2 linked regions of the Coturnix japonica genome follow. The protein of the gene in region 1 interacts with the protein of each later gene in a pairwise test. Links are inferred from orthologs where the notes say so. Each region holds a gene or a part of one and is shown on either strand. Other genes may lie near its edges.

Region 1 (6,160 bases):
TGGCTCACGTACAGCTTGACATCCACCACTACTCCCCCCCACCAACCTTTCATCCCCCAGCAGTATTGATAGTGGAAGTTGTAATGACCCAGGTGCAAGACTTGGCTCTATCGAACCTTATGATGTTCACCTGGACTCACTGCTCAAGACTGTCTAGGACTGACAAGCCAGTAGTTCCCTGGGTCATTTCTACCCTTCCTAAACAACAGGCATGACGTTGCCTTTATTCCAGTCACCAGGGACTTCACCTGACTGACATGACTTTTCAAATATCACTGAGAGTGGCTTGGCAACTACATCAGCCTATTCACTCAGATCTCTGGGATGCATCTCAATGGGACCCATGCACATCTGGATGTTCAAGTTCCTCAAGTGGATGCAAACTTGATGTTCACTAACAGTGTGAGGGAGACTGTTCCTCCAGTCCCCACCATCCAATCCATCCACTCAATGGATGTATGAAGAGCAGCTGACAGTAAAGACTGAGGCAAGGAAGAACCTCAACCTTCTCCTTATCTGTTATTACCTGCCTGCCTGCATTGCTCATTGGGAGTATAAGCCTTCCTGCACTTGTATTCCCTGTATTCAAAACCTGAGCTAAGACTTCTCATGCTGCTTGCTTCGGATAGACTTATAAAGCACTTTTAAAATTAAAAAATGAACAACAACAAAAACCCAAGCACAACCACATATGCACGTGCATCTTCCACACATACCTTTCACGCGGACAGACTCTTAAGAGGTTTGTAACTTACTTCAGGGTCCCTTTGAATTGACCACACGTAACCATCAGCTCAGCACCTTGTCTATAACCTTGATTGAAGCCTTCCTGAATTGCAAGCTCTTTCCCAGCCTCAACACCATCTCTATAGCCCTCCTATAACAGAAGTGGTAAAACACACTTTTCACAGCCTGCAGAATTGGACCTACAAACACTTCTACAACAATAAAAAACCTTAAGCACTTAGTCTCTTAAATCCAAGTTTTTTTTTTTTTTTTTTTTTTTAATTTGAACACTGCACTCAACTACACCACTGCTAAAGCAAAACACATTTTTTACAGTGCATTATAATTTACTGTTAATGCTGCTGATCTGTTAACATGCAGTTCATTTCTAAACAAACCTCCAGCTAAGTCAGAAAATAAAGACTTGTCTACAGGAAAGCACTTTTACTTTTGTGCTGACCAACTCCCTTAACAAAGTTTCCTTGGAGAATTGAAATTTATTTCTTTCTCCTCTAATCACATTACCATACATTTATGTTCTTCACCCACAAGATAAGCCCTAGTGGGCCCAGTTTGAATGAAAACATCTGTCAGAGAAACCCAAGTTTATGTATTTGTTTTGTTCTCTGCTTTCATAAAATGTATTTTTCACTAAGATAATAAATAAGCCAAAAAACTACTCAGACCTGAAGTAGTTCACACCAAATATTAAAAAAACAAACAAACAAACCCAACAAAAAAACACCAACAAATATCCTCTATTCTTTGTTAGCATCAATTAACCTACAAGTATGAAGCAAGTAGGTTACATGAGAATTTAGCACTGCCATTCAGAAATGCACATAGTTGTGTAGAGGGAGTCAACATCTTTTTTGGTAAAACATTACTTTGTCCTGACAGGCTACTGAAGATAGTAACTTCCTCTTAAATTTTTTTTAACACTCAGAAGAAACCAAGCCACAATAACTTTCATACAGCCATTCTTAGTTTTCTCATTTAAATCAGCCATATTTTTAGCAAGATATGTTACTGGTAAACCTAAAATATTTTAAAAGACTATAAAAATCATGCTTAGAGAAATACCTTCAATCTTTTTTTCATGGTGTTATTCCATTCTTTCTGTACTGGATACATCTCATCTGCATCTTCATCAAATATGTCCTCATTGGATCGACTAGCTACAACTTGTACCCAGGACATAGCAGCAGTGATGACACTTAACTTTTGTTTATGGCCTAAAGCAAATACTGAGAAACTCTCAGAAGTCTCCCAGCTAAGTGTCAGATTAGAAATAAAAGTAAAAAACATGAGTTCTGAAGAGAAGCCGTATCAGGGGATGATTATTCAACCTGTACATTCATTTCCATGTGAAAACTGGATGCTATTCCTCACTGGAGCTCATCTGTCAAAGGAGACAGAAATTATTACCAGTAAAGCACCTTGTGTGATTTACAAGGACAACTTAAGACTAATTTCTTCCCTTCTTTGCTTCTTATGTCAGCAACAAACAGAAGTGCACCAAATTAGCATTTCTATATGTTGCTAGTAACTTGAACAGCAGACAGAAACACTTATCCAGAGCTATAAAATTTTGATAGCAGCCAACAAATAGTCCCATGCAGCTTCTAAGCAGTGCATTAAATTATATGCATATCTAATTGCCTGCAATATTGTGATCTTGACAACTGATGATGAGTTGCACCTTTGATCTTCAGTTTCCTAACTCTGCCAGATGCTTAATGCTTGTAAATCCTGAATAAAAATATTACTTTTTTTTTTTTTTTTTTTAATAATTAGTTAGCAAGTTCTGATGTAAAGAGATGAATAAATAATGTGATTACTTCATCTTAGGAACTGATAAGACCTTAAGAGGCCATTCACAGTTAACTGGAGCAAATTCTTACAACCCACAGAATGGTGGATACAAGGAAGTGTGGTGAAATCACGCTTCTGGGTTCATCATATCCAATTTTTATCTTAAGCAAATCTTCCAGAATTTCCAGTACCATTACACAGAGTCTTTTGGAAAGCATTAAAGCAGTTAAACAACTGGTCCAAGAACTGCAGTTCTTCTTATACACAAAGTTCACTAATGTGAACTGACTGCTTAATCAGCTTATCCCTCCCAATGTCCAATCAAAAAGTGGTGAAAACATCCAAGTAAATACAACTTTACAACAGTACCTCAGGCTTGAGAGATTATTTTTCAAGATATTCAGCAAGACAGCACTTGCTACCAGATGTTATATTTCCTTAAACCATCTCTATTAAGTGACAGCTTATTAGCTCCAAAGTGAGTTTCACAAATAGCCCCTACACAAAGAGCAGAGAAGGGAGAACAAAATGCAGCAATTAATGGTGTAAGGTAGCAGGTGCGGGAAGGAAGAAACTGTTCGGTATGTCATAAGAAAAGTGAGCTGGATAGATGAGAGAGCTGTACACCTGGTTCTCTATGATAAGATTTCAGAGTGATACTGACTGCAGAAGATACCAACAGCATTTAAGGCCCGCAATCCCCCAATGCCAGCACGTCCCGGCACACCTGGAGACCAGCAGGAGGAACCTGAGGGCCCTACGGGAGGAGGCACAGCCTGGCCCGGGGGACTCCAGGCAGAGGCCCCTCGGCCAGGCCACAACCCGCCATTTCACAGCCCGGGCTGGCGCCGCAGCTCCCCACAAACTGCAGGACCGAGAAGATCTATCCCTCTTCCGACCTGTCGGCAGCCAGAATCCCCCCTCGCCGGCGCCATCTGAGTCCCCGCCGCCCTCAGCCCTCACCACGGCCGCCGAGTCACGGCGCTGTTCCGCTCGCAGGGGGCCGCCATCTTGACTGAGGGCACGCTAACTTCGCTGCCCCGGATGCGGCCCGTAAAAAGCCGCCATCTTAATCAGCAGCACCGTGACTTCCAAGTCCGTCTGAGTCACAGGACGCCGGCAGCCATCTTGAGTAAGGGCATAGACTTACAGCTTCCGCAAGGAGGCGGGCCGGGGAGGGAGGACCTTGCCCCATGGAGGGAGTGCGAGCGTGGTTGTAATGGCAGGACTGAATGTGGGTGCTCCTGCTCGGGGCTGCTGCACCGGCCCTACTTCTTGCTTATCACCTTATTCTTTACCCTCAGCTGCTTGATATTCTAGGAAAGGTGTATAAGTCATACCTCAGAGTCAGTGTGAGTTTCCCATATTCAGATTATCTCAGTTTAAATGCCTTAATTTTACCATGGTTGATAATTCTACACACGTCTGTTTAGGACAAATCCTTGTGCATATGAGGAATAATGATGAAGGCTCATATTCCCATCCCTTTCTTTTAGAAGCAGATAATTTAGTGACTCATATTGTGTAAACAGAGCAGCACTATTGGATTATGAAGTGTACTTGCTGAAGACAAGTTAATTGTATGCTGACGGCCTTGACATGACTACTAGCAGGGCTTGAGAGTGAGGTGTAGTGCCTCAGAGTGGGGGCGTTTTCCTAACCTGTGTGTGTTCTACATAAAGCAACATCTGGGTATTATGGTGATGTTTTGCAATGACACATACCAGAGGATTAAAACACATGAACAATATTTCACAGGCTACAGAACTGTTCTGGCATTTCTGCAGAATATGTATATAAGAAGAGTTATCCCCCCCCCACAGTGTGAAAAATAAACAAGGAATTGATTTGTGATTCATTGCCATTTCTAATATTAAAATCTGGATAATTTCAGTCAGATATCTGGCATACAAAGGTACCTTAGAACCATAAATGCTTGGCTCAGCAGTTACTCTCTGCTCACCTGGAGGGTGTGGGGGGGAGTTTTCAGGGGGCCATTACACAATTGTGCAGAGCTTAGGATTGTTAAGGCATTCTTGGAGATGACTAGGAATTGTGTTTCCCGGTGGCGCAGTGGTAGAAATGCCGCGTTGCAACAGCTTAGGGTTGGGTTCGAATCCCCCCTGTGGCGCAAGTGGTAGAACTGCCGCTCTGCTACACAGAGGCCCGAATCCCGGGGGGTTGGACTCGGTGATCTTTTAGGTCCCTTCCAACCCGCACGAGACTATGAGACTATGAAGGATTTTTATCAGTTTGATCTTAGTGTTAAGTGCTGCCATTAAGCAGTCAGCCAGCAGAGATATCCAAAAGTAAAGTATATGAATGTAAAAACCTTTACAGTTATAACTGTGCATAATGCTTCTGATAAAGGATTGCTGCCATTCAGATCAGTATCACACACGCTCATCTTTCAGCCATCAGTGCCTCTAACCCAACTCAAAGGAGGAACCGGTTGATTTCCTCATAATTCACAAGGACCTCTTGGGATTTCAGACTTTTTTGAAGGGTGGTTGTTTACTGTAGCCAGGACTTGTGTTGTGTATGGGCTACTCTGCAGGACAGGATGATCAAATCTTCAGTTGAGTGATTTCTATTATAGTATACTGCTGTCTCAGGCAGAATTGAGTTAAGGCTTTTGAAGGGCCCAGGAAAGAAGACTATTTGCAATGAGATTACGCTGTCAGTTATCCCACACTTTTATTACTTCTCTACTCTGGCATCACATTGTTTATTGTATTGAACCAACACAGCAATGTCTCATTGGCTCTAATTTTGGAAGTAGTTTAATCCTTTTAAAAAATTACATCTTTTGGATGGCATTTAGACGGATTTCAGGAACATTGTTAAATCAGTATTCACTTGTTCTCTGCAGTAAACAAGATTAAAATATAATGGGTGAGGAATAGAATATTGAAATGTCAGGAGAATAATGACTATTAATATTTAATAAAAAGTATATGTATTTTCATCAAGTATTGTATGATATATCTGAGAAATTTTAATCTGTAAATCCCTCCCAATGTGCATTCTGTATATGCTCAGATGCTTGTATTTTCCAGATATCTAGAGGTTAGTCAGATTCTAGGCTATTTTCCTTGAATATTTTGAAGAACAGGACATGGGTAAGACTACCTACATAAACAGAGACAACCTACTCATGCTCACATGCAGACAGCGTTGCTGTTCTAATCTTGACTCTTCAGTGCATTTTTCCTTCATGATAGGGGTGATGCGGTTCTCTGCTACCAGCTGTCTGGTGCAGTAATAATACAGACATGTTCTTAATTCTTTTGCTTCCACACCCACCACAGAAAAGGAATGTGACAAAACAGTGAGCTAGTGAGTTAATTGCAAGGTCATAAGCTTAATGAGGTTTTAAATATTGCAGCTCAAACATAGGAGTCTACAATGACCTTAAATTAAACAAGAGGTTTAAAGTAAACTTCTGGGATTTATGTCTGTTGCCAGGGCATGGTAATAAACATATATTTCTGTGTTTTCCTATAGCATCTTTTATTCTGGTTATTATGGTGATTTACTGGTAAAGCCCTATCACCCTCTTGTGATGAAGGTAAGTAATACACAGGAATCACTGCCCTGTTTTTGTGAAATTTTTTGC
Region 2 (6,201 bases), on another chromosome or scaffold:
TGTGGGCACAAGAAGCAACCTCAAAACTCTTCTAGTAGCCATGTTTCTATTGTTGGTAATTTAAATTGCTGGGTTTGGGGTCTACTTGTGTTTGCTTTGTATGTTTGGATCAGTCTGCAAAATTAGTAAAGAAAAAAACACAAGATTTGTACTCTGAGTTGCAGCTACATCATGAAGTGCTATCTTAACCTTTTTTCATTTGCATTCTTCGTTTGTATTCCACCACTTTCTATCCAGACAGGTGTTCACTACTGCAAACTCTGTAGGCAACTGATTCAATTTTCCTTCATCTAAAAAACCTACTCATTGTGTAAAATGAATGATCTACATATGTAGATTTTAAAAAGCATACATATGCAAATCTTCCTTATTTTAAGAATGCATATGCGTGTTTTCCTTTTAAGGCAAGGCTGGTGAAGAGCAAATCAAATACTTCCATTTAACAGGTGTTTAGTGTTTCTGTAATACTAAATGCCTTGAGATTAAAAAAAAAAACCAACCAAAACTTTGACAAATATAAGAAACCATCAAATGTTTTGTGCTTTTTCTTTACCACTTTAATTATTTAGCATCTCATTGCTACCTGGATTTTGTTTAAAATAAACAAACGCTTTTCAGGTTATCTGTTATTCAATACGCCTTTTTTCATCCATGTTTATCTTCAGCTTTTATATTCAAAAAGTGAGTGAAGATCTTTCAGTACTGACTCTAAAATCAGATCGAATATTTAGCATTGAGCAAACCTAAAAAAGAATACACAAGAGTGTTTTGAAGCATCCATTTTCCTGAAGGAAATTCAACACAACTACTGTTTCCTCCGTTTCTATTCTTCTGGTCCTGCTTGTAATTCACTGTTAAATACCAGCCATTCAATTCTCCATTTATTTAATGTTATTCATTTATTTTGCACTTGCTATCGTTTGGGGAATTTTTGACTCAAAGCATTTTTACTTTGACTGCAAAAGGAGATGAAATATTTGCAGAAAGCGATACTATTTTGTGCTAAAAATAACAACTTAATCCTACAAACCTGTTTAAATTTCCCTCTGATTTTTTCCAGGTCGTCTTGAAGCTTTTCGTAAGTGGGGTCTTCATATGGGAACTTCTGTATCATTCCTATTAATGAATCCAGGGCCCTCATCTTTTTACTGAAAGAAAGCCACAAAAAATGGTAAGTGACAATAAGCCTCCAATAGAAGTCTTTTACATTTGTCACTGTGGAAATTGTATCAGTATTTCAAAATCAAGAGCATAAAATCCAGCCTTCTGTCCTTATTTCATTCAAATTAACTCATAAGGCATAATTTACAGCATAATCAGAAACTAAGTTTGGTACAACTATCAAATGTAAGGCTTTCCTCTTAACTTACCTGCCAAAAACAGACATTTAGTCAGGAAATGTAGAACTACCAACTAGATGACTATGTGTAATAAATGCAGAAAGAAAGCTCACTGGAACATGTATTGAGATAGCTGAAAGCAAGGTGGCATTTTGTTCAAATTAATCAAAACTGGTCAGAAAAAACTCTTAAGGTCTACCAAAGGAAAGTAATAATTGATATCTGGAAGTGTATGTGCCTGCACATGTATAGAAAACTAGAGAAAAGTTAGAAAAAGAGAGAGGGGCACCTAGAAGTTTAGCAGATGTATTTCTGTTGCAGAGATAATAAATTATGCAGAGACCATAAAATATCAGACATGGAAAGCAAAGATTGCTACCATCACCAACAACGTGAACTATCTATGACAAGCTAATTCCCTTGCATGTCTAATTGGCTTAGGGAAACAAGCTATGATTAATTACTGATGGTGAATTACAGCTCCCTCAGAAGAGGACCTCAGAGGTTTAACATGAATGTCTGTCTTGGATGATGGGTTGACTGTATCTATAAGAACAAAAAATGCTAACTGGGGGACCACTGCATGATGCAGCAAGGAAAGCATCTCTAGAACTTCCCCTTGTGCAGTACAAGTAGGCATTGCCATCTTCTCTTTTTCAGGTTGATGAAACCAAGTTTCCTTATCCTCTTTTCAGCATCAGATGGTCCAGACTGCAATGTCATCCCAGACACCATCTGCTCACCCCTCTATTTTTCAGTATCCTCTTTTTTAAACTGAAGAAGAGGCAAAACTGGACATCATAACTTGAAAAAACTATTAAAGGAATAGGATTCATACTTTGAAAACCCTACCTGTTCTTATCATCTGTACATTTTGGGAGCAGATGCTGCCAGGTCAGTGCAAATCCAAGGTAGCTGCCAATCTGTGAATTTTTAGGCATGACATGAAGGGAAAAAAAAAAAACCAAACATATTAAATATAAATGTAGTCATAGAGAACTAAAGCTCTACATTCTCTTATTCCTCAGAAAACAAGTCATTGCATATACAAATGCATTTCTACACTGAAAGGCTCAGGAAACAGTACGCATGCTTTGAAACAAAAAAGTAATGAAACTGAGTTATTGCCAAATTCTACTTCGATCTGTGCATGCACTTGTCACTTTTTACAAGACACAAATTTACAAGACGCAACTGGACTTGTTTGCAGGCTAAAGGAACTTCCTCCACCAGTGTTTACATGTTACAGTGGGAACATCTGGGAGCTTTATTCTTCTGGGAGCTGTGTATGTTAAAATACATGTGCTTGGGAGCTCACATCTCCATAAATACTCAAACATAAAAGAAAGCGAGGCGGTTTCATCTGCATGCACCAAAGCCGTTTGGACACCACAGGTAAGTGGAAACACCAACAGGTTTGTTTCATGTTGCACCAAGCTGCTGTGGTCTAGGGGTGCTGGTCCATGGATGCTTTGCAGCAATCTGCTCTGTGTAATTAGTGATGTGCTACCACATGGGTGCAGTACCAATCTTCTGCTTGAGCCCAAGCACACACTGTATCTAATATTATTATTAGATAGGGGCGTGCTAGAAAACAGACATATTTTGTAACATCTTATTTTAATTCTTCATCAAGCAAGCCCTTGTCAGGTTAGTATTATTTTCCCCAAGGCAGACAATAGGCTGACAGCTCAAATATCACCTAAATTGTATTTTTGCTTACTTATTATGACAGTGAGCCTTCCCAGACCTCATTTAAGGGTTGGTAGTGGAGATGAGGGTATCTTGCTGGAGATCCCTGCCCACCTGAGGCCCTTCTAAAGGTAGGCAGGTTCTTATTTTTTGCCCTTTATTTCTACACCCACGGCTGCTGTATTTGGGCACATCCTCACATCGTGAAGCGTAGTAGCTGCAGCCTTTCTTCCCCACTGTCACACTGAGGATATCTCCTTACCTCAGAGCCAACCCTGGCACCATGCAGACAGCCGCACCTCCGCCCTTCAGCAGCCCCAGCGTGGCTTCCCTCAGCGTACCCCTCCTGGTAGCCCTCCCCGTGAAACCTGCAAGGACAGATGCACGGCTATACACTTAGCGGCTCTCCCTCCCTTCCATGGCCCCGTGAAGGCTCCCAACCTGTCCTCAGCCATCACTATCTCATCAAACATGTCATAGGATGAAGACGGCGCCGCCATTGCGCCGAGCACAGCACGACGGGAGGCGACGGCGAGCCGGAGGAGCCATATCGCGTTGCTTTAGTGCGCAGGCGCCTATTCACTCCATTAACAGGCCCAGCGCCTCGCCGGCCTCAGAGCAACAGGGGGCGGCAAAGCAACGTTGGTGCCAAGGGACTCAAGTTCTCCAAACAGTTTCAGTAGTTGGAGTGGAGATAGCACTGACCCTCAGGGCCTGAATAAAGGATTTACAGCCCTCCACACCTCCCCAGAGTGGAAAAAGAGATCCTCGCTATCTCCTTATATAATATATTATATGTTAAATAATACAGAAGCTACTGACAGTAGCTTTTTTAATGATTTTTTATTGCAACTGTACGTATTACACTAGTTACACTAAAACGGAGATTTAAAAATGGTTTCCTAACAATTTAATGATTACAAAAGTTCACAAAACCAAAAAAAAAAAAAAAAAAAAAAAAAAAAAAAAGCTGCTTTCAAGAGTATATAAATAGAATCTTGAGCATAAATAACAGTAACAAAATAAACAGAGGTATGTATTTAATAAATTAATTATAAATATTGCATTGGCAATGAAGTGCTAGGTCAGAAGAACACCAGTGTTTCCAGTAGAGCTTTTTGTATAGAAATCTCTATTATAAGCGAGCCTTTGGAAATGAGTGGAGTCCCTGAACTCTTACATTTGTCTTCTTTTGGTTTCTCTTTGGTTATTCCTTTGTTAAACTGTCACAAGGGGAGAAGAGAACTGAAGACACCAGACATATGCTTTTTGGTCATGAGATCCACATGATCCCTTCCTGCAAGAAACACGGCATGGCCAGCTCAGTTCTGCAGCATTTGGGTCACTGAACTGTATCTCCATGGTTTCAACTGATGCAGAATCAAGCCTGGAAGGACTTAAAAAGAGTTGCTGACGGTTAAAGGTAAAACACAGAAATGTTCTTTGCAACCGATGTGGCCCACACGTCATCCATTTCCAGACTTTCTCTCTATTTGCTAACAACATACATGAGTATATACAGCAGAACCTATATCTGGACTCTAACTTGGAATACTCATTCCTATCAGATGAACACAAATGCTAGTTCTGTATACGCTCCTACCCATGTGCTGAATTCCCATTAGCACTAAAGACAAGTCTATGCTGGATGATGCAGATCCCCTAGTGAACATAAATTAGCTTCTAAAATAAACCACCAGTTTTCCAAGGTATCCCTTAGCAATAGGGGAGGGAAGAAGTATTTTCCTTTCTTCCCTTCTTTCCTGAGGGAAGAAAAAGCACAATATGTAAGCAGAACTGTTTTTCAGTGGTATGCTTTCAACAGAAAGCTTTCCCAGAAGCTTGTCAGCAGCTTCTCAATAAACAGTACTAACTTTAGTTCACATAACCACACTTGTTCAGTGTTCCTTAATTGTGTTTTGTTCCAAATGTTTGTCTACAAGGTTGTGAACTTCCCTGTGAACGGCAAGATTTCCTGTATGTCTATAGAGCAGAAACAACAGGTGAACATATGTGGTAATGAATTTGATATACAAAAACTATATATTTTATCATCACCACACAAATGGAGGAGCTCTGAATGGAGGAACTTTCTTTAGGTGCTCTTATTTAATTTTTCTTTTCCAAGTATACTATGGAGTGGTGATTCTTTCAAATATGGCACCTGGGCACTCTGCTCTTATGGGTACAACACATTGTATGGGAAAGACTGTCTCCATCCTGAGACATGACATCACTACACAGAAAGCTAAAAACCTGCAACATTCTGTGGTATTTCTTTAAAACCATGTGTGCAATCAGAGTCATTTCTGAAAGCTGGGGCTCTTCACTGGAGACAGTTTGGAAGTGATCCCAAAGGGATCCATGCTGTCCGTTTCGAGAGGCGACGAGTAGACCTCTGGCTCAAAAGCCTGGCTGTAATCACTGTATTCACCAAAGTCTGTCACCTCCACTGGCACAGTGTTGATCATGGGTAAGAAGTGAGACAGTGGGAGAAAATCTTTTCCTTTGAATTGTTGTCTTTGTTTGGCGCTGCTCAAAGACACCGATATTCCGTATTTCTTTGATTTATACACGTTGTAGCCGTCTGGACGAATCTCCTCTTCAAAGGAACAGTCCTCGATGGAATAGCTGAGCTGAACAGCAAGGAGTAAAACCAGTTACAGACGTGCCTGCCAGACTCACTGCATTCAGTTAAGATTGTGTGAAGAAGAGCCTATTTGCTTAGGTATGCATTTGTAAAAGTACATTTGTGACATACTGCAGAGACCTCCCATTAGGATCTAGGACCACCTTCCCACAAGCACTGCGTTTGGTGCAGCGCTGGTGTTGTTTCAGGCACAGTCACTGCAGGTGATTGAACTCCTGGTCAGCAAAAGGAGACTGCTGACAATGCCTCAGCCTTCAGTGATAAGTGAATGCTTAATATATATTGTATTTGCTACCTTTCAGTCTTTTCTCATGGCTGTCAAGAATACGGAGTACAATTAAATACATGCATATGAGTATTGATTAAAAGCCCTCTTTAAACTAAACAGGTAATCAAAAAAAGGGCCTCCCCCCCCGCCCCCCCCCCCACCCCAAAAATAAATTATGCAGTATTTTTCCTTCCATACACAGAATATATATCTCAGAAAGATACCAGTATGTGATGTATAATTATGGCTGA

The links. The genes of interacting proteins can lie anywhere in the genome.
Region 2: the proteins of YAE1 (region 1) and LTO1 interact in binary tests that used the Homo sapiens proteins (3 or more experiments, as listed by UniProt). The link is inferred for Coturnix japonica from reciprocal best matches to the Homo sapiens genes YAE1 and LTO1.

What each region holds. Positions count from the first base shown.
Region 1 is NC_029517.1:76,799,004-76,805,163, forward strand, and holds the start of YAE1 (protein YAE1 homolog), read right to left. Parts: upstream 3,606-6,160; 5' UTR 3,505-3,605; exon of another isoform or gene 3,441-3,504; intron 3,380-3,440; exon of another isoform or gene 3,269-3,379; intron 2,129-3,268; 5' UTR 2,035-2,128; coding exon 1,810-2,034; intron 878-1,809; coding exon 756-877; intron 1-755. UniProt on the Homo sapiens protein: The complex LTO1:YAE1 functions as a target specific adapter that probably recruits apo-ABCE1 to the cytosolic iron-sulfur protein assembly (CIA) complex machinery. May be required for biogenesis of the large ribosomal subunit and initiation of translation.
Region 2 is NC_029520.1:7,242,139-7,248,339, reverse strand, and holds the start of LTO1 (protein LTO1 homolog), read right to left. Parts: upstream 3,622-6,201; 5' UTR 3,533-3,621; coding exon 3,474-3,532; intron 3,401-3,473; coding exon 3,295-3,400; intron 3,272-3,294; exon of another isoform or gene 3,076-3,271; intron 2,736-3,075; exon of another isoform or gene 2,551-2,735; intron 2,264-2,550; coding exon 2,193-2,263; intron 1,172-2,192; exon of another isoform or gene 1,149-1,171; coding exon 1,031-1,148; exon of another isoform or gene 1-1,030. Other genes in the region: FGF19 (fibroblast growth factor 19), read right to left, coding at 5,336-5,668. UniProt on the Homo sapiens protein: The complex LTO1:YAE1 functions as a target specific adapter that probably recruits apo-ABCE1 to the cytosolic iron-sulfur protein assembly (CIA) complex machinery. May be required for biogenesis of the large ribosomal subunit and initiation of translation.